Rattus norvegicus: one gene and its partners. The protein of the gene in region 3 purifies or fractionates together with the protein of the main gene of each other region. This does not show direct contact. Links are inferred from orthologs where the notes say so. Each region holds a gene or a part of one and is shown on either strand. Other genes may lie near its edges.

Region 1 (3,941 bases), on a different chromosome or scaffold from region 3:
GGGGGGGCAATAAAAACGTTTTAAAATCAGGTGATAGTTGTACAACTTTGGGAATATCCTAAAAACCATTAAGGGTAGACCTCGAATAGGCAAACAGTATAATGTGTGGAGTATATCATAACAAAAGTACTTAAGTAGAACGAGCAGGTGTACTTTCATTGGTTTGATTTCAGAGTCCATGCCTTTAACTGCCACATTATTCTGCTTCCTAAAAATAGTTTGGGCTAGAGAGATAGCTCAGTGGTTATCCCAGTGACCACGTGGGGGCTCACACCCATCTGTAATGGGATCTGATGCCCTCTTCTGGTGTGTCTGAAGACAGCTACAGTGTACTTATATATAATAAATAAATAAATCTTAAATAAAAATAGTTCAAGCCAAACAAACAAGAAAAGAAGGAAAAAAGTTGAATTATGAAAGACAGAACTATTCTCAGAGGGCTGAGTCTAGAAAAGACCAGTTAACATAACAGTTCCTGTGCCCCCACCTGGTCACAATAACAAGTTCACAGGCCTAGATGCAGGGGAGCCATCCGTGGCATGACTACCAACCATTCCCACCTCTAGGCATTCCATATAGGATATGGGCTACCTGACACCTTTCAACCACCTCTCTCACTCAACCACCTTTCCCATTGATCACAAGACCCCTGACAAGGTAGGGAACAACAGATAAATGATAGGAACAGACTTCCCTTTGATACCTAGTTGCTCTGGCAGTGATTTCCCTATTATATCAGAAATCAGCAAATGGGCGGAAATTCAGGGCCATTCCAAACATGATCCATGCAGGAATCTCACTTCCAGAATTTTATGATTAGTTGAATGAATTAAAAACAAAAAGCCTAACTTTTTCATACTATAGTATCAAATCTTAAAAAGGACAAAATGACTACCACAGCAGGTAACAAGACTTGAAATAGCTTGGCCACAACTTTCCAACTACAATAAATACAATAAATAAGTTCATGCAGAACTTCATGGGAAAAAAATTACATTTAATAAGAGTATGGTTTCCCCAGTCAAGAAGCTGAGAACTATCCCCACAAATAGTAAGAAAGAAAAGGCTGATGAGTGTGCTGCAGTTAGAAAGGAGACACAACTCTCCTGTCTGTGGAGTGGGAGAGCTATTTGTTCAAAAGAATCCAAGATGGGAAATTAGAACAAAGGGCGGTGGAGGGTATACAAGTACACTGCTATACACCTCCTTGGGGCCCTGGGGCTGCACGCCCCTCTAAGCCTCTGGTGGGGCTTTCAAGGAACAAGATTTGGGGAAGAACCCAGGAGCTGGCATTAGGAAAATGCACACAAGGTGAGACAAGGGAGAGGTCTTCAGGCAGTACCTAGAAAGAACAGTATTGTGCAGAGGGGAGATGAAAGAGAACTATCTCCTTCCACCAATCTCTCTTCAGTTGGGAAAAGCTTCAAGGGAGAGAGCAAGAAGTGGAGTTCTGGAAAAGAAAGGCCCAGAGCAGATGAAGCTGAAGTTTCAAAGTTGTTCCGGGCCTGGCAGCCACTAGCCAGTACTCAGATATCCAGGTCAAATAGGGGGAGGTAAGTGGACACAAAACAAAACTGGGTTAGACTTCCCAGTACTTGGGCATCTGAGGCTGGGAGGAAACTCTGGAGCTATGTAGATAAAAATCAGCAACACTACAGGCAGCAATGGCAACCAGCTAGACCAAGGTGTGAGGTCTGGGGAGAGGCCGCGGGGAAGGGGGGGGGGCGACGACACACACGACTGTCAGGGATAGAAAGTAGCTATAGCGCAAGGTAGGGTAAGAAGCCTGGGGCAGGAAGCACAGTGTAGCAGCAGATGTCTATGAACTGACTGACGCCGAGTTTTGGTACTGGAAGGCCTCAGGAGACAAGGTCTTAACACTAAGTGGTGCAACTGGAGATATCTGGGTGTGAGTACCTGGTCTTTGGGGAGCCTTAACCTTTGTGGGTTGTTTCGGCCAATGGAGGGAGGTTGCCCACCTCGCCCCGGTCGCCCCGAGAGCAGCGGGCTGACTGAGTTCTCCAAACTCAAAGGAGCAAGGTCCCTGGCACTTTGGATGGAGTTAGGGTCAGAGGAAAAGCTTCATTCTGGGAGAATGTGACACTGGCCGCTACTGAGTTTGGGGCAGCCAATGAAGAGTTTTTCAGGATCCGACAGGGATTGGTGGGAGGGCTGGCTGGTGTAGGGAGGACAGGACAGGACTTGGGAAGAACCGACCCAGGCTAAAGGACGGCTAGTCATGGGGGTGCTTCCGGATCCCAAGCGGGAGAGTCAAAGGCTCCAAGTGTGGGACAGTCTTCGGGGTCTGTCGGAGGCTGGCCGCTACAGGCTCTGAGTCTAGGGGTGGGTTAGGGGTAGGGTTCGAGAGTGTGACATCAGCTGGGCAGGTCCCGGTGGGAGGCGCCGGGTGCAGGAGGCCCCGGCAGTGAGGGCCTGGTCCGCGGCTGAGGGCTCGAGGAGCCCAGGGCAGGCCCGGCCCGTGAGCGCCGCGAGGAGGCCCTCGGGCCGGGCCTTGCCGCCTGGCGCTCACCTGCAGCACCACCTCTACGTCGTACGAGTTCCCCTTGCTCTTCTGGTGGCCACGGAACTTGGAGCCGCTGTAGAGCAAGCTGGTGGCCACGCCGGGCTGCTGGGTGTTGATGGGCGGCGGCGGGATGAGTGAAGCCGCGGATGTGGCTGAGGCACCCGCCGGCGGGGGACACTCGGTGCGGACCGGCATCGCGGGGTCCCCCGGAGCCAGGGCTGGGGGAGGGGGAAGGAACCGCCGCCGCCGCGCGGGAGCCGAAGCTGCGGGGAGGGCGGACCCGGGCGCGCACGCGCGGGGGAGGGGCTGGGGAACCACCCGCCCGCTGCCGGCTGACCGAGCGCTCGTGTCGCCACCTGGACCCCGAGACCTGCAAGCAGGGCCTCCCAGTCCTGAGCTGGGCTCCCCTTCCCACTTGCCCTCGCGGGCTCACACATACACACACACACACGCACACATGCACACACACACGCGCACACACTCACTCATACACACACGCGCGCACACACACATACACACACACACACACACACTCGCGCACACACTCACACACATACACACACACACACACACACACAAACACACACACACTCTACTGCTTCCAATTGGCGCGGACCCGCCGGAGAGGCGGGAGCAAGCTCACGCGGCGCTTCCGCCCATTGGCAGACAGAGAAAGCACGTGGTGCGGTGCGCGAATGGCCCTCTGGGACTTGTAGTTTTCTTCCCGTAGCGCGGCATGGAGGGGGCGGGGCGAGCACGCTTGTGATGCTGATTGACGGGGGCGGGGGCGGTACGCAGGGGGCGCGTGGCTGTGACGGCGTGCCGTAGGTGTCATGACGAAGATGGCGGCGTGCTGAGGAGGCTGAGGGCTTTGAACCCTTGGTGAGAGGTTTCCGTACGGAACCAGCGAGGCGTTTGGGGGACTCTCTTCGCTCTATTCCTGTACTGTTTTCACGTATGGGTCCACCCAAACCCTTGGGCATGATGTGGCGAATCTACCCCCGGCTGAGGGACCGGTGGCGCGGTCTCTTGGACCGGCCTCTCGGTGACCCCACCGTTTCATTGTGGCCGGGGCCAGCTCTGAGGCCTCCAGCCCGGGCCTACGTCCCGCCAACAGGTGAGGCCCGGACTTCTGTTACTTTTTGTTCAGGAGCCAAGTCGGGCTCACCTGGCGGAAGGTTTCCGACGTGCAGTGCGGGGTGACTGAGGCAGGGTTCAGGCCCATGAGAATATTCAGAGTAATAGAACTCTGTTTCAGTTTGAAAAATGACATCCAAACCAGTGCGGGAGTGACTTTAGGGGACACAGCGTTTCCAGGGTAGGAGATATTTGGCTGAGGCTTCTCTCAGTTTCCTTTCTTTTTCTTCGCCTTTTGCTTGTTTCATTTTTCAAGACAGGGTTTCTCAGTGTAGCCCTG
Region 2 (3,500 bases), about 44 Mb from region 3:
GTCCTTTATTATGTTTTGACTTACACAAACACACTTCTTGCTTGCTGGCTCACTCTTATTTCTGCTCTCATAGTTATACAAAAGGCAGAGTCTTAGTCAGGGTTTGACTGCTGTGAACAGACACCATGATCAATGCAAGTTTTGTAAAGGACAACATTTAATTGGGACTGGCGTACAGATTCTGAGGTTCAGCCCATTGTCATCTAGGTGGGAGCATGGCAGCATCCAGGCAGGCACGGTGCAGGAGGCGCTGAGTTCTACATCTTCCTCTGAAGGAAGCCAGGAACAGACTGTGCATCCTCAGGCAGCTAGGAGGAGGGTCTCCAAGCCCACCCCACAGTGACACACTTCCTCCAGCAAGGCCACACCCTCTAATAGTGCCACTCCTTGGGCCAAGCATATGCAAACCATCACAGGCAGCAATCTGGCTATTCAGTTTTAGTGGGATACCTTAGCAGTGGTAGTGTGGAGAGACCTGCCTCGTCCCTCTTCATTTGAGCAAAGTAGTGATATGTGGGATCACTCGGAGACTGCTCTCGTAGGGATGTAAAGTGTGAAGGCTCATTCTCAGTGCTTTATTGGAAATGACAACTCCCTTTTCTCCTTTTTTTTTTTTTCTTTTTAGAAAAACCGTTGTTTATACGTGTTTGGTGGCCAGAGATCTAAGACCTATTTGAATGATTTTTTTAGTTATGATGTGGACTCTGATCATGTAGACATAATTTCAGATGGCACCAAGAAAGACTCTGGAATGGGTAAGAATATTTCCTGTGTTGTAACTGCTTTTTATAGGAAATTAATGTCCATTTTCTTCTCTTTGTAACCTTCTCTAATTGAAATAATTCTAAATTAAAGGAATAAAACTGTCTAATTCCACTGTTCAAAATCACATGATTTACTATTATTTTAAGGAAACTATAGTGTGTGAATTTCTGAAGTAAACGTGTATGTCTGTGCTTTGGGGAATGGACTTTGTGAAAAAGCAGCATCTGAAGAAATATTCTGACTTTGGCGACACCACCAACTTGAGTCCACTGTAGTAAACTGTAGGTAAGGCATGAGCACAGCAGAGTGGTCTCTAGGGTAGCCTCCTGCAGTCGTTCATACCTTGAAGATGTTCGAGCTTATCATCTAAGTAGGACCTCCTACTAAAAAGGTGGTTATTTACTAACCAGATTCTGTACATTGTCCTGGCATGGCTAGTAGTAATTCATCGTACACACTACTTTTTAAAGTCTCATTTTGATAATTAACAGTTAACCAACACAGTAATTGCTTTACCTATGAATTCTTTATCCAGAAGGGTAGATTTGATTAAGGCCCAGTTTGGCACTGGAGATAGAATTAAAACCAGCTTGTTTTTCTTTTCTTCTTTTAATATAATTTTTTAAATTTTATTTAATCTCTTTTTACAGTCCAGATTTTATCCCCATCTCAGTCTACCCTCTGACTATTCCACATCCCATAACTCCTACCCCCTTCTCATTAGGATGTCCCCATGCTCCCACCCCCACCTCACCAGTTCTCCCCACTCCCTGGGGCCTCCAGTTTCTTGAGGGTCAGGTGCATCTTCTTTGACTGAGTCTAGACCCAGCAGTCCTCAGCTGTATATGGGTTGGGGCCCTCTTATCAGCTGGTGTAATGTTCCCTAGGTGGTGGCCCAGTGTCTGAGATATCTTGGGAATTCAGGTTAATTGAGACTGCTGGTCCTCCTACAGGGTCACCCTCCTCCTCAGCTTCCTCCAGCTCCTTTTTAATTGAACCACAGCAATCAGCATCTTCTGTCCATTGGTTGGATATAAATATCAGCATCTAACTCTTTCGGCTGCTTGTTGGGTCTTTTGAAGGGCAGTCACAATGCTTATTGTGAGCACTCCATAGCCTCAGTAATAGTGTCAGGCCTTGGGGCCTTCCCTTGAGCTGGATTTCTCTTTGGGCCTGTGGCTGGACCTCTTTTTCCTTAGGCTCTTCTCCACTTTTGTTCTTGCAGTTCTTTCGGACAGGAAGAATTATGGGTCACAGTTTTGACTGTGGGATGGCAACCCCATCCCCCTGTCTTTCTACTGGAGGTGGGCTCTACAAGTTCCCTCTCCCCACTGTAGGACGTTTCATCTAAGGTCCCTTTGAGTGTTGAGAGTCTCTGGTACATTCTGGAGGGTCGCCCTACCTCCTACCTCCTGAGGTTGCCTGTTTCCATTCTTTCTGCTGGCCCTCAGGATTCAGTCCTATTCCCCCACCTAATACCTGATCATGTTCTCCTCTTCCCCTCCCTGTCTCCTTTCCTACCCAGGTCCCTCCCTCACCCTCCAGTGATTGTTCTTCTCCCTCCCAAGTGGGATTGAGGCATTCCTCACTTGGGCTCTTTAGCTTGTCAACCTTCTTGAGTTCTGTGGATTGTATCCTAGGAATTCTGTACTTTTTAAAAGCTAATATCCACTTCTTAGTGAGTACAAACCATGCATATCCTTTTCGGTCTGAGTTACCTCACTCAGGATGATAGTTTCTAGTTCCATCCATTTGCCTGCAAAACTCATGATGTCCTTATTTTTTTTTTCTTTTTTTCGGAGCTGGGGACCGAACCCAGGGCCTTGCACTTGCTAGGCAAGCGCTCTACCACTGAGCTAAATCCCCAACCCCCGATGTCCTTATTCTTAATAGCTAAAAGTATAACATTGTATAAATGAACCACATTTTCTGTATCCATTCTTCTGTTGTGGGACATCTGGGTTGTCTCCAACTTCTGGCTATCACAGACAAGGCTGCTATGAACATAGTGGAGCATGGTGGCATGGCACCTTTTGGCTATATGCCCAAGAGTGGTATGGCTGGATCTTCAGATAAATCTATTTCCAATTTTCTGAGAAATCTCCAGATTGATTTCCAGAGTGGTTGTACCAGTGTGCAATCCCACCAGTAATGGAGGAGTGTTCCTCTTTCTCCACATCCTTGCCAACATGTGCTGTCACCTGAGTTTTGATCCTAGCCATTCTGATTGGTGTAAGGTGGAATCTCAGGCCATTTTGATTTGCTTATCCCTGATCACTAAGGACTTTGAACATTTCTTTAAGTGCTTCTCAGCCCTTCAACATTCCTCTGCCTCTGTTTTTGATTGGGTTGTTTGTTTGTTTGTTTGCTTTTGGTTTTTTTTTTTGGGTTTTTTGTTTGGTTGGTTTTTTTTTTTTTTTTTTTTTTTGGTGATTAGCTGTGGGGGGGTCAGTGAAGATTTTTTTTTCCCAATCTGTAGGATGACAATTTGTCTTATTGACTATGTTCTTTGCCTTACAGAAGCTTTCCAGTTTCATGAGGTCCCGTTTATCAATTCTTGATCTTAGAGCATGAGCCATTGGAATTCTGTTTAAGAAATTTATCCTGTGCCAATGAGTTTGAGGTTCTTTCTCATTGTCTCTGTTAGATTCAGTGTATCTGGTTTTATGTTGAGCTCTTTGATCCATTTGGACTTGAGCTTTGTGCAAGTTGACAAATCTGGAAATACTTTCATT
Region 3 (3,500 bases):
GTTAGCATCCCTGGGGTTGGCACTAATGCTTCCCTTTTTTGCCCTCAGTTTCTCAGCAGGTTGTGTGGCGCTGCCTGCACTAATTAACATCAAAGCTGTGATTGAACAGAGGCAGTGTACTGGAGTTTGGAACCAGAAAGACGAATTACCTGTGAGTTCAATTGACAATTTATTTACCTTTCTTGCCCTAGAAGGTGTTTTCAAAGTACTCATCATGCCATTTAACCAGAAAACACTATTACAGCTATTCAGCATGGTTTTTTGTTTGTTTTTGTTTTGATGCACATAACATGAGTGAACAGTAAGGTTGGATATAGCTCAGTGGAAGACCATTGCCTGGCAGGCTTGAAGCTTTGGACCTAGTCTCCTCACCACTCTAAAAAGGAAACATGTCAGTTAACTAATTAAAATTAAAATAGGTAAGAGGGAGGTGATGGAACACACTTAATTCTAGCTCTCAGAAGGGAGAGGCAGGAAGATGTTTGTGAGTTTGAGCCCAGCCTGGCCTACATAGTAAGTTCCAGGACAATCAGGGCCTCTTTCTTACTGAGACACTGTCTTAAAAAAAATGAAACAAGAAAATAGATTTGAAGGATTTTAACCCGAAATTATCATTTCTGAGATAATTGTGTCACAGATGCCGGAGGGTTGAATTAATAAGCCTTTGACATTAGCTTCTTTTCCCACACCTGCACATAGATTTGTCTGCAGTTAGCTTGTTCCTTCAGCTGTAAGCCTGTCAGTTGGTTGCACCAACTAGAGCAGCTTGCTGAGGGTGGTTTGTGACTAAAGGCACAGGTGCCTTCCTGGTGCTACATGTGGTCAGGGCATAAGCAACACTGTACTCTACTGCTGCTGCTTGAGCAAATGAAAGAACTCTGTTTCTTAAGCAGATGCCAAGCTTCTGGCAGTTTTATGATCTTTCTGTGAGCTTCTTTGACATATGCACACTGACGTAGAGGAATCTATAGGATCCCCGCTGACAGTGTGCATCTGACTGGGAGAGTATCAAGAGGAAGGGGTTGGTAATCTTTCCTCAGGAAAGATTTGTTGTACTTTTGGCTTTTGTGCGCCCCTCCCTTTCTTTTGGGGAGTGGGGAGTCAGGGGATACCCTAACTATATAGTCCAATTTGGGTTTCCTCTGATCTTCTTGGGCACTGGCTTTATAGGTGTGTTCCACCATTTTTTCAGTATTGTAGTTTGGACTCAGATCCTTGTGCACACTGAATTCCTTCCCCTTTGTCAGTTTTCCTTAAAGAACCTTATGAATTGACTAAGTCTGTGTGTCACTGGCTGCCGTAGATCTCATTTTGTCTTGTATCCATCAGATACAAGAGACCTCAAACTCAAAACCCCTTTCTCTACTGGGACTAAAGGTGTGTGTCACCACGCCTGGCAGTAATGGACTTTTAGTACAGGAGCTGTTGTAGATGGGAAGAAAGAAAAGGGAGGGAGGGAGGAAGGCAGGCAGGCAGGCAGGCAGGCAGGCAGGCAGGCAGGCAGGCAGGCAGGCAGGCAGGCAGGCAGGCAGGCCATGTATTGGTGGAGACTCAGCTGGTCTGCTAGATGACTTCAAACTTTTATATAATTGGATTTATTTGTGGCAAAAACACAATGTTGATATCATGCCTTGAGCTTTTAATGTGAACAAATGACAAAAATCCTGCTGAGATTTAGCTTAAGTGTTATTGGTATTACAAGCCTGTAATTCCAGACATTTGGGAGGCTGAGGCAAGAAGACTGTAAATTCAAAGCCTGCCTGGACAACTTATAGAGAGCCTATCTCAAAAGCAAAAAAAGGGGGGAACATGCACCAAGAGGTGATGGTGGCAGGTAGGGTACTGGATTAAAGCCTGCCTAGTCACATGCAAACCTCCACTTTGGACTCTAGCACTGGGGGAAAAAAAAAACAAAACAAAAATCCCTCCTTCGGGTTTTCTCTGGACCATGTCATGCAAATTACAGAGGAAACTCAGATCTGGTCACCTAGAAGGCAGCTCTATTTAGATTGCCCTTGGAGGAGTCGATGCACTGAATTTATCACCTAACCAGGCATTTCTACAGAAGTCAGGGTCTGCTTCTGCTCTTGGGATATGTTCTGGTGAAATTACAAGGTATTTAGGCCAGGGATATGGCTTAGTGCTGGGCCAGGCTGCCTGGTACCACCAAAAAAAGATACTTAACTTTTGAGCGTCATGTTTGATCTTCTCAGACCCCAGATTCAGTTTGAAAAGCAATGTTGTAGTTTTGCAGATGAAGATTTAACTAGCCTCTGTGCATTTCTCTTTTTTGAACAGATTGAAGTGGACCTTGGTAAAAAGTGCTGGTATCATTCCATATTTGCCTGTCCCATTCTTCGTCAGCAAACAACAGATAACAACCCACCCATGAAATTGGTTTGTGGTCATATTATATCAAGAGATGCCCTGAATAAAATGTTTAATGGTAGCAAGTAAGTGTCAGACTTCTTAAATATTAAATAGATCTGTCTTGTAGGAAGTAAGATGTAATAAGGATAAATGAATGCATCCAAAATCTTTTATATATTTGGTTGGTTCCCCAACCCCCCAGGGTTTCTTTGTATAGCCATGGCTGATCTGTAGAGTAGGCCAGCCTCGATCTCGGACATTTGTCTGAGTACTGGGATTAGTGTGTAACACTGTGCTTAGCCATAACTACACTGAGAAATGAGTTTTCTTAACTAGTCATAGAAAGTGGGTTATGTCTAATCTCTTTGGTTAGTTTAACCTGCAGTCTAAATTTGGTAAATAGACTTGTAAATGTTCTCTAATCCTTGTGTGCCCTTCCCTCCAGGCTTTAAGTGTAGTTACTATGCATGTCCTACTCCCTTCTTTGTTTCACTTCTCTCACTTAGGGCTTTATTGTGGAGCTATTTTTATATGTTGCAAAAAGAGCCCTTTGTTATGATGATGTTAAAGCTGTGGATGAGCAGGCATGGTGGTGCTTGCTTCTAATCCCAGCACTTGAGTGGTGGAGGTAGGACCCGGAGTGCAAGGTCATCCCAACTATGTAGCAAGTTAGAAGGGTCATCTTGAGCTACATGAGATTGTCTCAACTACTTTTGCTGCCCTCCCCCAATGTAGATTACTCTGCAGTGTGGAAATATGATTATTCAGCTATTTTCCTCTTGGTGAATACAGTGCCAGTGTGTTGTCCACATGTGATAATTGCTACCAGTGTAATCATGGTTCAAAGCTCATAGACATTTGTAATTTTACAGACAATGAGCCCAATTTAAAACAAAACAGATCTCCAAGGTATTCTAACTTAGGCAGTTGGAGGGGTCTTGACTCAGGTTGGTTCTGGCCCCATTGTGGGAAGGCCCTTTCCTGGGAGGTCTGTTGCTTGAAAGAAACTGTTTATACCCTTCCCAGACCACACAGAAACCCTGGCAGTGCAGATTGGTGGTGATTGTGGTCACTGAAACGCATGTGGGCTGTCCTTTATGCAGACTGATAGCTCACAACAGATTTGCTGT
Region 4 (3,500 bases), on a different chromosome or scaffold from region 3:
AAGAAATACTTCTAAAGTATGGTCACATAAGGATGTTTTCTGAGTGTCATGTTAAACCAAAGACACAGTGAGATTATGGGAGTATAATCCTAAATATTCAAAGGCAGTAGACTACCGCACATTCCTTCATCCAGGTCAATTAGCACAAAGTTTTGAGAATCTACACAGTCAGATGACTTGAATATAAATAAGGAGGCCTAAGAATTCTTGAGCACATTTCATATTCTCAAGTATCACTTACACGAGACATTTCCATCAATGTAGTCCAGGGACAGTGTTTGGGCTCCTTTCAAGGAGGTGTCAAACTTAAAACTGTTCATTGTATCACTAACGTTTCCTTGCCCTTTTCACTTTCGTAGCCCAAATGTCTGATTTATGGACTCGATGTAGAAGGAGGTATGAGAATATAGCTCATCTATTATTACATTAGAGACCCCATTTAAGTGGGAGTACATTTTTCATAAAGATTTTAAATTGAGAATTTCTAGTTTTTAAAAATTTAGTTTTAACTTCTACCATATATACCAGTATATGTAACACATTTAAACAAAAACTGTTAGAAATCTGTTTCTGTCCCCCGTGTGTGTGTGTGTGTGTGTGTGTGTGTGTGTGTGTGTGTGTGTGTGTGTGTGTGTGTGTCAGTGCTTATGTAAAATCAAGAGCCTCCTCTAGCACACGTAAGCACTAGACCACTGAGCTGAACTGTTGGCCCCCATCAACAATTTTAAATATCAGAAATATTAGGAACTAAAGCCCTAAAACAGCCCTTAGCATCTTGCAAAGTACTGTTCAGATGCCTAGAAATTAACCAAAGGCCCACCATGTTAACTTTCACAACACTCTTCAACGGGTACTTCTCAAGAGCTGCACAGGGATAGGTAGTGATGCTATAGACTAGCATGTACTCAAGAGAGAGATACTTACCACTGGAGAGTTATAAAGACATAATCTGACCATGAGAAAATCCTCTAAGGCAAACGTGGACAGCCACTTTCCTGACACATGACATTTGTTTCTACGGACTCTTTCATATCTAGTAATTTAACTCTCTTCATTGCTGAGGATTACGGCTAGAAACTCAAGTGTCATGTGACCCAGCAGATGGTGGGTAATGACACTGCTCTTCCAACCTCAGCTACTGTAATGTAAAACAATGCCTTTAATTGAGACTACTGTGCAAATAAATACTTACTAGTGCTGGCTTTCTGCTAAGGATAAGGTATTGGATACGGTGGGTACTATTACAAGTTACCAATCACTACATTCTCAGTTCAGGTTCAGAACAAATATAAGCAGTCATCTGCCCTTTCATGTAATCTCTAATCACTGGTCACAAGGCCCATTAAGTGTGTTTCCCTTTGCCTTCTGGGAGGTGCTGTGTTGGGATGTGAAATGTTTGTCACAGGCTATCTCAGCAGGCAGTGCTATTTTTGGAAGTCCTGGAAACTTAGGGAGACAGGAGCTAGTTACAGGAAGTAGGTCCCTGGGACTGTGTCTTTCAAGGATATAGATGATCCCAGTTTCTTCCTTTCTCTCTGCTTTCCTTTGCCATGGGATGAAGGCCTCTTCCTCCATGTGCTTCCTACTTACGGTATTCTGTCCTATCCAGGGCCAGAATCAATAGGATTTGGAGGTAAATGCAGGTAACAGGAGTTATGAAAGAGAACAGAAAGCTATTTTTCTAGTTCTACTTCTTTCATAGATTTGTTTTTTATGGTGGTGCATGAATACATAAAAATATATTTGACGGTGAAAATGTAAGAATCCAATGTGAAGCCCCAGAGCATCAGAACAGGTGCTATACCAATGGTTACTGAGATTTACCACAGTCTATGAGTCTGCGTAGTTTTGGTGTGTGGTGTTTTATCTGTAACAATTTAACTTTTAAAAACTCAAACTGTGGTTAACTTTTTATTGAAATTTTATCCTTTTCACCCACCATGGACTTGTCCAGAAGAGACTTCAAAATGTATTTTAACCATTCTAGACATAAAAAAATGGATCTAATCCTTCACTGATTCCCATAAAACCAATTTAACTTGTTGCAACCCTAAAACAGTGTTTACCAAAATATGCACGTCAAGTTCATGGTTTCAGCAGGCACGGCAATTGCACAGGGAGTCCCAGGGGACACGGTATCTCGGTGCAGCAGAGCTGGCACTTAAGACTGCGTGTGTGAAACCCAATGTTCCAGATCAGAACTGCCTATGCCACCAAGAGTTCTGACTCACAAATGGGCACCGACTGAGGGACCCCAAGTGCAAATTCCCCAGAATTTCTACCACTTTGCTTAATGTTTAATAAAACTACATCTGGTACCTCTGACACATTTATGTCTCAAGGGAAAACATATGATATGGTTTGACTATGAAATATTCTCTCAAAAGCTCATGGGTGTAAGACTAGGTCCCCATGTAGAACCTAAGTCAGTGAAGGTCACTGGATGCTTGCCTACAAAGGGCCCTGTCCTCTCTCTCCCAGTCAGCCCTACTCTACTGAGTTCCCTGCACTGAGGTTCTCTCTTACCACAGACCCAGGAACGACAGTGGCAAGTGGGAACGGACTGAAACCTCTCCAGTAAGCCTCCCAGAAAGCAAGCGACATTCTTACCTTCAGCATTTTCTTATTTGCTGTGTTCTTGCCGCATTCCCTCCTCAGCTGCTCACTCATGGCTTGTAGCTCTCGGCCAAAGTGAATCATTCTCTCTATGGCAGCTTGACTTCCTCCACACAGCTGGCGTCTTAACTGACTGCAGTCAACTTCTGTAGGCAAAACAACAGCTAGTTCACTACTTACTGAACAGAAAACAAAAAACCAGTGAGCATACAAGTTTTCTTTTTAACATATCATATGTTCTTCAGTAACTACTTTTTAGTTCATCTAAATACAGATAGCTATGAATATTCTCGAGACAAGGTCTTGTTAGGCTGGCAATGACCTCCCAAGGGCTGGAGTTACAGGCTGCTACTACCATGACTGGCTGCTGAACACAAAAAGTCAAAAATTTCCATGTAGCTCAAAGCTATATTTTATGTGTCTCAAGAGTTTGGAATCCGACATTCAATGTGCAGCCGTGGTACAAGAACTGTCCAGTGTTTGCATGGAAAGTTAAGTGTAACTCCTACACTCCATGAAACATGATGGGGGTGGGTGGGTATATGGAACAGTAACTCCCCTCTCGGGCTTTAACAGACAGCAAACAGAAATAGATTAAAATGTTCTTAGAAGTTAAGACCCCAGTAGAAGCACAGATGATATTTTATCTTACTAATGAAAAAGACCAATTACACTACTAAGGAAAATGTTACCCTTAAAAGTATTTTATATTATATATGTTGACTAACACTTGGTACTGAAACACTGTACTCATAAAAATCACTATTGGTAGCAGCATCCATATGATGATGAAGAAAACGCTAACGTTAACGAGTACTTGATATAATTAGCTTTTTAGAGATGAATTCATCTGCTCTTCACAGTGACTGAGATTTATTTTACCC
Region 5 (3,500 bases), on a different chromosome or scaffold from region 3:
ATCGCAGCATCAGGAAGATTGACAACCACTGCTCTAGAGGAATGGCAGGCAAATGAGTCAAATTAATCTCATAATATACCATGTATTAAAGGTGCAAGAATTCAAGATAACAGGCTGATTTTGCTGGGAAGAGACAGGCACCTCATGGCTAATAGGAGCACAGTCTTTGTGGAAGGCATAATGTACAACAGTAATTTAACCCCGCTAAAGCTGGTTGAGCAATGCCATATGTATGTATGCACATATGTACATGTATATGCATGAACTCTCATGACTTGCGTGGACATGTATGGGGAGAATGTTCTAAGGCTGCACACCTGTGGCTGGGTGGCTCCTGATGTTTGAAGGGGTAAATGAGATAGAATGAACAAGATGCTTGGCATGAACTGAAAACAAATGTAGCCTTGTGTTATAGGATACACTGCTATTTTGGTGTCAGTTTTTCAATAAAGTTTTAATTTTGGACAAAAATATACTCTCGGACAATAATTGTAATTATTATTATCATAAACAGAAGAGCAATGATTTTGAAAAAAAAAAAAAACATGGTTCAGATGAGCCCATATGAACATTGATAATTCTAAAATGTATTTTCTTAGGGCTGGAGAGATGGCTCAGTGGTTTAATAGCACTTGGTGTCCTCGCAGAGGACTTGGATTTGGTTCCCAGCACTCATATGGTGGCTCATAGCCTGTTCATAACTCCAGTTCCAGGGGACCTGATGCCTTCCTCTGGCCTCCACAAGTACCAAGCACACACACTACACATACATACCTAGCTACAGACAAAACTCTAATACATAGAAAAGAAAAATAAATAAAATTCTAACAAAATAGGCATAGTTTAAATTATTTTGGAGGACACCAAAGTAAATTTTAAGCCCTTCTCATCTCCTCATTGTTTTATACATCTGAGTGTTTGCATGCAAGCTTAAGCACTCTGAGTGTGGCTGGTGCCACGGAGTACAGAAGAGAGTGCCTGATCCTCTGGACTGGAGTTACCAGTGGTCGTAAGCTGTCATGTCATCCGGGAACCAAACCTGGTTCTCAACAAGAGCAGAAAGTGCTCTTAAACACTGAGCCTTATCGCTAGATCCAGAAAGTGATGTAATATATATAAATTTCTTTATTATGAAAGTATTACCTATGCCAGCAAAAGAAACAGGGGCTGGGGACTCAGGTCAGCAGTACTGTGGTTGCCTAGCATGGATGACCACCTGTGTTCTATTGTTATCACAGAGAGGGAAGGAGAGAGAAGTAGGAGGAAGGGGAGCGAATGGGGGAGGGAAGTTGATAGTACCGGTGTTTCACCAGGGGAAGCCGGCCAGACATGAAGCTTGTGATCAATCTATCTCCAAGATAACCCAGCCATTTCCAATATTTATAAAATTAGGTAAAATAACAGGACACAAATTATATGCAGGTTTTAGCAAATGCTGCATAGGACACATACAGGCACATGGATACATACATATAAACAAAAACTTTCCATGTGTTGAGCCCAGACCCTGAAAGTAACTCCACCTCTTCTCTTGCCCACCCAGAAAGCATACTGTGGGGAATGGCACTGCTGTGGCCCTCAAGGGAGCAATTCTCACCTGCTAGGCTGGGAGCCAGAGGTGGTCCTGCTGTTCTTCCCAACAAGGGTCTCACTATCTGTACCTCAACCCTTCCTCAAGGCTGCTTTAGTATCAATTCCTCAGGAAAGGAAGGCTGAACACTGGGGATAAGACTCAGTGATAGTCCTTTCCTAGCATATGTAAATTCCTGAGTTCAAAAGAAAGATAAAGTCAGTGGAGGAGAAAGGGTGGAGCTGGGGTGGGGACTGAGACTGACTGAGACTGGATGAGAACCCAGTATATTGCTACTCCAGGTCCCTCATGCCTTTGCACAACAATGATCAGGGTTAGTAGAAGCCAGGACCTTCTCCACTCTTGGGAGCCAAGCTAACACTCACCTTCTAAGAGGTGGGTGAGTAACAGTCATTGCTTCACCTAGGTATGAAGTTAGCTAGTGAAATAAGACCAAACTTGTCCTCCTGTTGGAGTCCCAGCAACACTGGCTTCCAAGACAATTTAGAGATTAATTAACCAAGGAGCATGCTAGGTTGATCCACTCTTTCCCTGATACCACTCCATGGACACAGGGATAATTAGCTGGATGCTGAGCCTGTTAAGTGACCTCAAGCCAAAGCCTTGCAATGCAGATTTTTTTTAAATAGCTTTTTGAGACAGGGTTTTTCTATGTAATAACCCTGGCTGTCCTGGAACTTGCTCTGTAGACCAGGCTGGTGTCGAATTCAGAGACTTGCTGCTGGGAACAGAGGCATGCACCACCACATTTGGCAATATGCATTTTTATAGCAGAAAAAGTGTCCACAGAAGAATAAACCATAGTGGTCCTAAAACTTCTACAAAATAGCCCTGGGAAGGAACACGGCTATGCTGGTGATTTTTTAAACTAGTTATTTCCTTTGGTTGGTGGTGGTGGTATCTTTTTTTTTTTTTTTTTTTTTTTTTCTTTTTTTCGGAGCTGGGGAACCCAGGGCCTTGTGCTTGTTAGGCAAGCGCTCTACCACTGAGCTAAATCCCCAATCCCGGTGGTGGTATTTTTAAAGTCAGGTTCTTTCTACATAGCCCTGACTGTCCTGGAACTTACTATTGTAGATGAGGCTGGCCTTAAACTCACAGAGATCTGCTTACCTTTGCTTCCCAAGTGCTAGGATTAAAGGTGTGCACTTACAAATAGAAGACTTGTGAGCTGGTTGAGGGGAAGGTTTTTTTTTTTTTTTTTTGTTTTTTGTTTTTAAATTGTGGTTATTTTGAATTAAATGTATGTATGTATGTATGTATGTATGTATGTATGTATGTATGTATGCATGTATACAGACCCATATGTGGGTTTATACACTTGAGAGCAGGTGCCTCAAGAGGCTAGTGATGTCAGAGGTGTTGTGAGCCACTTGACATGGGTGCTGGGAACTGAACTCAGGTCTTCTGCAAGAACACTCTGTGCTCTTAACTGCTGAGTCATTTCTGTAGCCCCACACAAGGTTTAACTAGGAGCAGCTCCAAAAGTATGAGTGAGATGTGCACTGGTGAGAGGGAAGCATGAGCAGCTGAGTCCTCTGCCAGTGCTTCTCAGGAGCATGCCCACCACTACAACTGTCAGCAGTGTTTGCAGTACTGCACAGGTCTATAGTCCCATGAGGCCTGGGGGAGGGGGAACACTCACTTCTGCAGCACTGCCTGCCACTCGCCAAGCCGGGCACTGATGGGAAAGCCGTGCACAGTGCCCTGGACTTTGGTACGCCACTCCCGCATATAGTCCTCAATGTCGAACAGGAAGGGCTGCTGCCCAAAGTTGGCATCCACAATCTCCCCAGGTGTCTGTAGGCCTACGGTGGGGTAGAGGTTGGCCTGAGGAGAAGAATGAATATCAGTCAGGCCCCTGAGGGCAGCAGGGCTGTGGAGCTTCTCTTCACTTCCATGGCTCTGCCAG
Region 6 (3,500 bases), on a different chromosome or scaffold from region 3:
AACCCATGTAAATGACTACAGAACTACAAGCCACTTTATGTCCCTGAGGCCGAGTAGAGCCAGAGTTGGCTTAAGAAGGGCCTTACTCCCTCCCCAAAGACCCCAGACAGGTTCCCACATAGCACCTTATTGGAGGAACCAGCCAAGGTCCGCAGCCAAGTGGACTGCTTGTCCTTCTCAGAAGACGCAGGGGACTGTGAGGAAGTGTCGTCTGTTTTGGGTCTTATGGAAGCTGGGGGCTCTGAGACCTGTGATCAACACAAAAGGCCCTGTTGGGATCCCTGGGCCCAGGCAGGGTCTGGTCTCCCTACCAGCCCCATAGTAGCAAGCTCTCCACTGGACCATTGTAATTCCACAGCTAGGAAGGAGCCTCAGAGCCACAAACACAGAGCACCTTGGCCTTGTGCAGAAAGGTAAGCCTGATGTGTCTGCTAAGGGACGAGGGCGTCCCATGAGACAGAGAAATACTGTGCTGCTGTGGGCTGCTCTGAGGTGACCTCATCACAGCTGCAGCGGGTGCTGTGTGGATCGCCAAGACCCATTCCGGCTTCCACAGCACTCTTAGGTTCTTTGCCTTCAGTCCCACTCTGTGGCCACATCAGGAATGGGCTAAATGACCCAGCACTGACTCCAGGCTCAAGTGTGACCCAACAAGCAGCCTGTAAGGAACCCAAGAGGGCTGCCCTCTGGGCATCCTTTATCACTGCTTCATTGGAGAGCATTACGGTTACCACAGCTACCCCCTCCCCAGAGGAAGGAAATATTCAACTTGAAGGACCATGACATACCTCACAAAATAGCTTAACCAGGTGTCACCACACTGCCTTTGCTGTCAGCTTACAGAAGCCAGCCAGTACCCTAACTTATCTTGGGCACCAGCTGTGGTCTAGTTTGACATCCAGCATTAAGTGGTGCACACCTGAGCCAGTCTGTATGTGAAATCCAATGACCCTCCACCTAAGTGTCACATTACACACACACACACACACACACACACACACACACACACACACACACACCGGCGTTCCACCTGCAGAACAATCACAGCATGGGCCTCTCCCAGAGCAGATAAGACTAGAGGAGCTAAGCTGCTGTCCCCCAGGTAGGGCCTAAGGAGATGACACAGACCCCAAGGCAGGCATACAGGGTTTACACCTCGGTCCCACGCACAGCCTCGTTACCTTGGGTGTAATGGGAAGGATGCAGCTAAAGTGAGACTTCCAGCCAGAGCCCTCCGGCCTACAGAAGAACAGGGCTTTTATCACAACACCTGCAAAGAGGAAGAAGGCAGCCAAGGTGCCAGCTTGATAGGTTTCTTACTAGGAAACCTGGAGAGGGCGATCAGCCCCCCTGGCGGCATGCATGTGCCTGGGACGACACTGGTGTTCCCAGACACATACAAATAACTGTTCAAGAAGAAAAGACACCGAAACCACTTTCTAGAGGGAATAACTCTTAGTGTCAAGCTGTCACTTAGCAGAGGATCTGTCAGCGGAGGCCGTGTGTACTCCCTGAAGGAGTAGATACCCAGGATGCTGGCTGGGGTAGAAGAACCCACTTCCGGAACTGCAAGGATCCCTCTCACAATGGAGGCAGAAGGGGGGTGTTGCACACCAGGGTGGGGCTTCCTGTCTGAGCAGACACTGGAACAGGTGCAAAAAGTGAGTTTCTATTCTCTCACAGAGAAAGCCACAAGTCTAGTCTGGGACACCGCTCAGGCAGCCTCAAAACTGTGACCCAGCAGAAAATGCTGGGGAATAGGACCACTGGGTGAGGCTGCTTCCTGTTCAGAAGGGCCACAGACGGGGGGAGTGGTAGACTACCATACTGGGGTCAAAGTCTCCTAAGGTAACCCAGCTGCTTCACACATCGGATGGGGAAGCCCCTGGAGCTAGTGGAGGAGTCTTAGGGTAGCTGGGACAGCTCTCCTGAGATTTTCATACAAAGTCCAAAGGCAACCAGAACTCTTACAGAACAAGGAAGTGTTAAAACTAGACGGTGCCAGGAATCCCTTTAATACCAAACTAGCTGTACACATAAGGGGGAAGCTGAAGGGCATTTGTTAAGCAACAGGACCCTGAAGAAGGGTCACTTGACAGGGGTCCTGCTTGACAGGGGTGCAGTGAAAAAGCTTTGTCAGACCTGGGATACCACCATCTATAGCATGGATACTAGGGGTCCTAGGAGTCAGTCAATGGTTAGGACCAGTCAGTTACCTCTGGATCCTGTCCTTTCTTGGGGCCTCAAAACCATCCCAGTGTCTATAAGCCAGGAGGGGAGCTCTGGGCCCATATGCTAAAGCCAGGAGCTAAACAGGTTGACAAGAGACAGCCCTGCTGCCAAAAGTCCAATACCAAGGGCTATTATCAGGCTGTATCAGGGGAGGAGCCAGCTGAGCTGGCCACAGCAATGCCCTGTGGCTACTTCCTCTCTGGAGCTTCAGACAGTGGTGCTTGTTTCCTCCACATCCCAAGGGCAAAGACGCAGAGAACAGGTGTCACTGAGTGTGACCTTTGCACCTGTGCAGGAAGGGCTGGGCCAGGCAGGGCTGTGGATATGTAGATCCCAAAGCAGATGAGGAGCCAGCTATATACGCCCACCCCCACTCCCACCCCCACCCCCCATCGCTGAGTCTGTGTACTCTTGACCTACAGGGAACTTAAGAATTCCTCACCTCCACCTCCAAACCTCAGAAAGAGCACTTGAGACACTCATGCTGCCCAAGGGCAGAAACAGGGCAGGACGACATGGGCCTACGGGTTACAGTGGAGGCTGGCATTCAGGTGAGCTGTGGCCAATATGGCTGCTGTGTCTAACACTCTCCTCTAGCCTCAGATGGTACAGAGAACTGCCAGGCAGAGCCTCAGGGGTTTGTGGCCAGCAGGAACCATACAGCACAAGTAGAGGGCTTGAACCGGACAGACAGTGCACCCTGAAGATGCCTATGCCCAAGAAGCAAAGACGGTAGGTCTGGAGAAACCTCACGAGGCAACTTGCCAGAGGCAGTGGTCCCCTTGGCTAATACTGTGGAGGCAGTGGAGTGGGTTGGGGGTTCTAAAAGAGGCCTGCACATTGCTAAGATCATGGTAACCAGATACCCACAAAGAAGCTGAGAACCACTGGGGGTCCCTACAGAGCATCTGCTCACCTCACACGCTATAGAATCTTGATAGCCTCCACTCATTTCCAGTCCTGAGAGAAGCAGCTCACTGCCATTCTTCACCCCAAGATAACCCCTCTTTAGTCAGAGCCAGGGTGAAGGGCACACATGCACTTTTAACACCAGCACTAGGAAAGCAGAGGCAGGCAGATCTGGGAGTCCAAGGCCAGCCTGGTCTACACAGCAAGTTCCTCGACAGCCAGAACTACCTAATAAAGAGACCCTGTCCCCAAAACAAAACTAACAAGAGTCTGCCCCAGAAACTGTCCCCAAGGTGCCTGCGCTCCCATCCTTCCAGCCACATCCAGTTTCTTGTCCTTGATTTTGTGTGTGTGGGGTT

The links.
Region 1: the proteins of Rmnd5a (region 3) and Gid4 purify together in Homo sapiens (affinity purification with mass spectrometry; 4 studies listed by BioGRID and IntAct, counting the BioPlex papers as one, with this or other methods). This does not show direct contact. The link is inferred for Rattus norvegicus from reciprocal best matches to the Homo sapiens genes RMND5A and GID4.
Region 2: the proteins of Rmnd5a (region 3) and Mkln1 purify together in Homo sapiens (affinity purification with mass spectrometry; 4 studies listed by BioGRID and IntAct, counting the BioPlex papers as one, with this or other methods). This does not show direct contact. The link is inferred for Rattus norvegicus from reciprocal best matches to the Homo sapiens genes RMND5A and MKLN1.
Region 4: the proteins of Rmnd5a (region 3) and Ranbp9 purify together in Homo sapiens (affinity purification with mass spectrometry; 9 studies listed by BioGRID and IntAct, counting the BioPlex papers as one, with this or other methods). This does not show direct contact. The link is inferred for Rattus norvegicus from reciprocal best matches to the Homo sapiens genes RMND5A and RANBP9.
Region 5: the proteins of Rmnd5a (region 3) and Ranbp10 purify together in Homo sapiens (affinity purification with mass spectrometry; 4 studies listed by BioGRID and IntAct, counting the BioPlex papers as one, with this or other methods). This does not show direct contact. The link is inferred for Rattus norvegicus from reciprocal best matches to the Homo sapiens genes RMND5A and RANBP10.
Region 6: the proteins of Rmnd5a (region 3) and Ski purify together in Homo sapiens (affinity purification with mass spectrometry; 3 studies listed by BioGRID and IntAct, counting the BioPlex papers as one, with this or other methods). This does not show direct contact. The link is inferred for Rattus norvegicus from reciprocal best matches to the Homo sapiens genes RMND5A and SKI.

Annotation. Positions count from the first base shown.
Region 1 is NC_086028.1:45,719,914-45,723,854, reverse strand, and holds the start of Gid4 (glucose-induced degradation protein 4 homolog), read right to left. Parts: upstream 2,801-3,941; 5' UTR 2,720-2,800; coding exon 2,531-2,719; intron 2,484-2,530; exon of another isoform or gene 2,242-2,483; coding exon of another isoform or gene 2,218-2,241; intron 1-2,217. Other genes in the region: Atpaf2 (ATP synthase mitochondrial F1 complex assembly factor 2), read left to right, coding at 3,482-3,641.
Region 2 is NC_086022.1:61,053,318-61,056,817, forward strand, and holds part of Mkln1 (muskelin), read left to right. Parts: intron 1-625; coding exon 626-755; intron 756-3,500. UniProt on the Homo sapiens protein: Component of the CTLH E3 ubiquitin-protein ligase complex that selectively accepts ubiquitin from UBE2H and mediates ubiquitination and subsequent proteasomal degradation of the transcription factor HBP1.
Region 3 is NC_086022.1:104,939,089-104,942,588, reverse strand, and holds part of Rmnd5a (required for meiotic nuclear division 5 homolog A), read left to right. Parts: intron 1-48; coding exon 49-151; intron 152-2,298; coding exon 2,299-2,453; intron 2,454-3,500.
Region 4 is NC_086035.1:21,496,277-21,499,776, reverse strand, and holds part of Ranbp9 (ran-binding protein 9), read right to left. Parts: intron 2,763-3,500; coding exon 2,611-2,762; intron 1-2,610. UniProt on the Homo sapiens protein: May act as scaffolding protein, and as adapter protein to couple membrane receptors to intracellular signaling pathways. Acts as a mediator of cell spreading and actin cytoskeleton rearrangement.
Region 5 is NC_086037.1:50,574,560-50,578,059, forward strand, and holds part of Ranbp10 (ran-binding protein 10), read right to left. Parts: intron 3,419-3,500; coding exon 3,234-3,418; intron 1-3,233. UniProt on the Homo sapiens protein: May act as an adapter protein to couple membrane receptors to intracellular signaling pathways.
Region 6 is NC_086023.1:171,002,458-171,005,957, forward strand, and holds part of Ski (ski oncogene), read right to left. Parts: intron 1,271-3,500; exon of another isoform or gene 1,182-1,270; intron 249-1,181; coding exon 126-248; intron 1-125. UniProt on the Homo sapiens protein: May play a role in terminal differentiation of skeletal muscle cells but not in the determination of cells to the myogenic lineage. Functions as a repressor of TGF-beta signaling.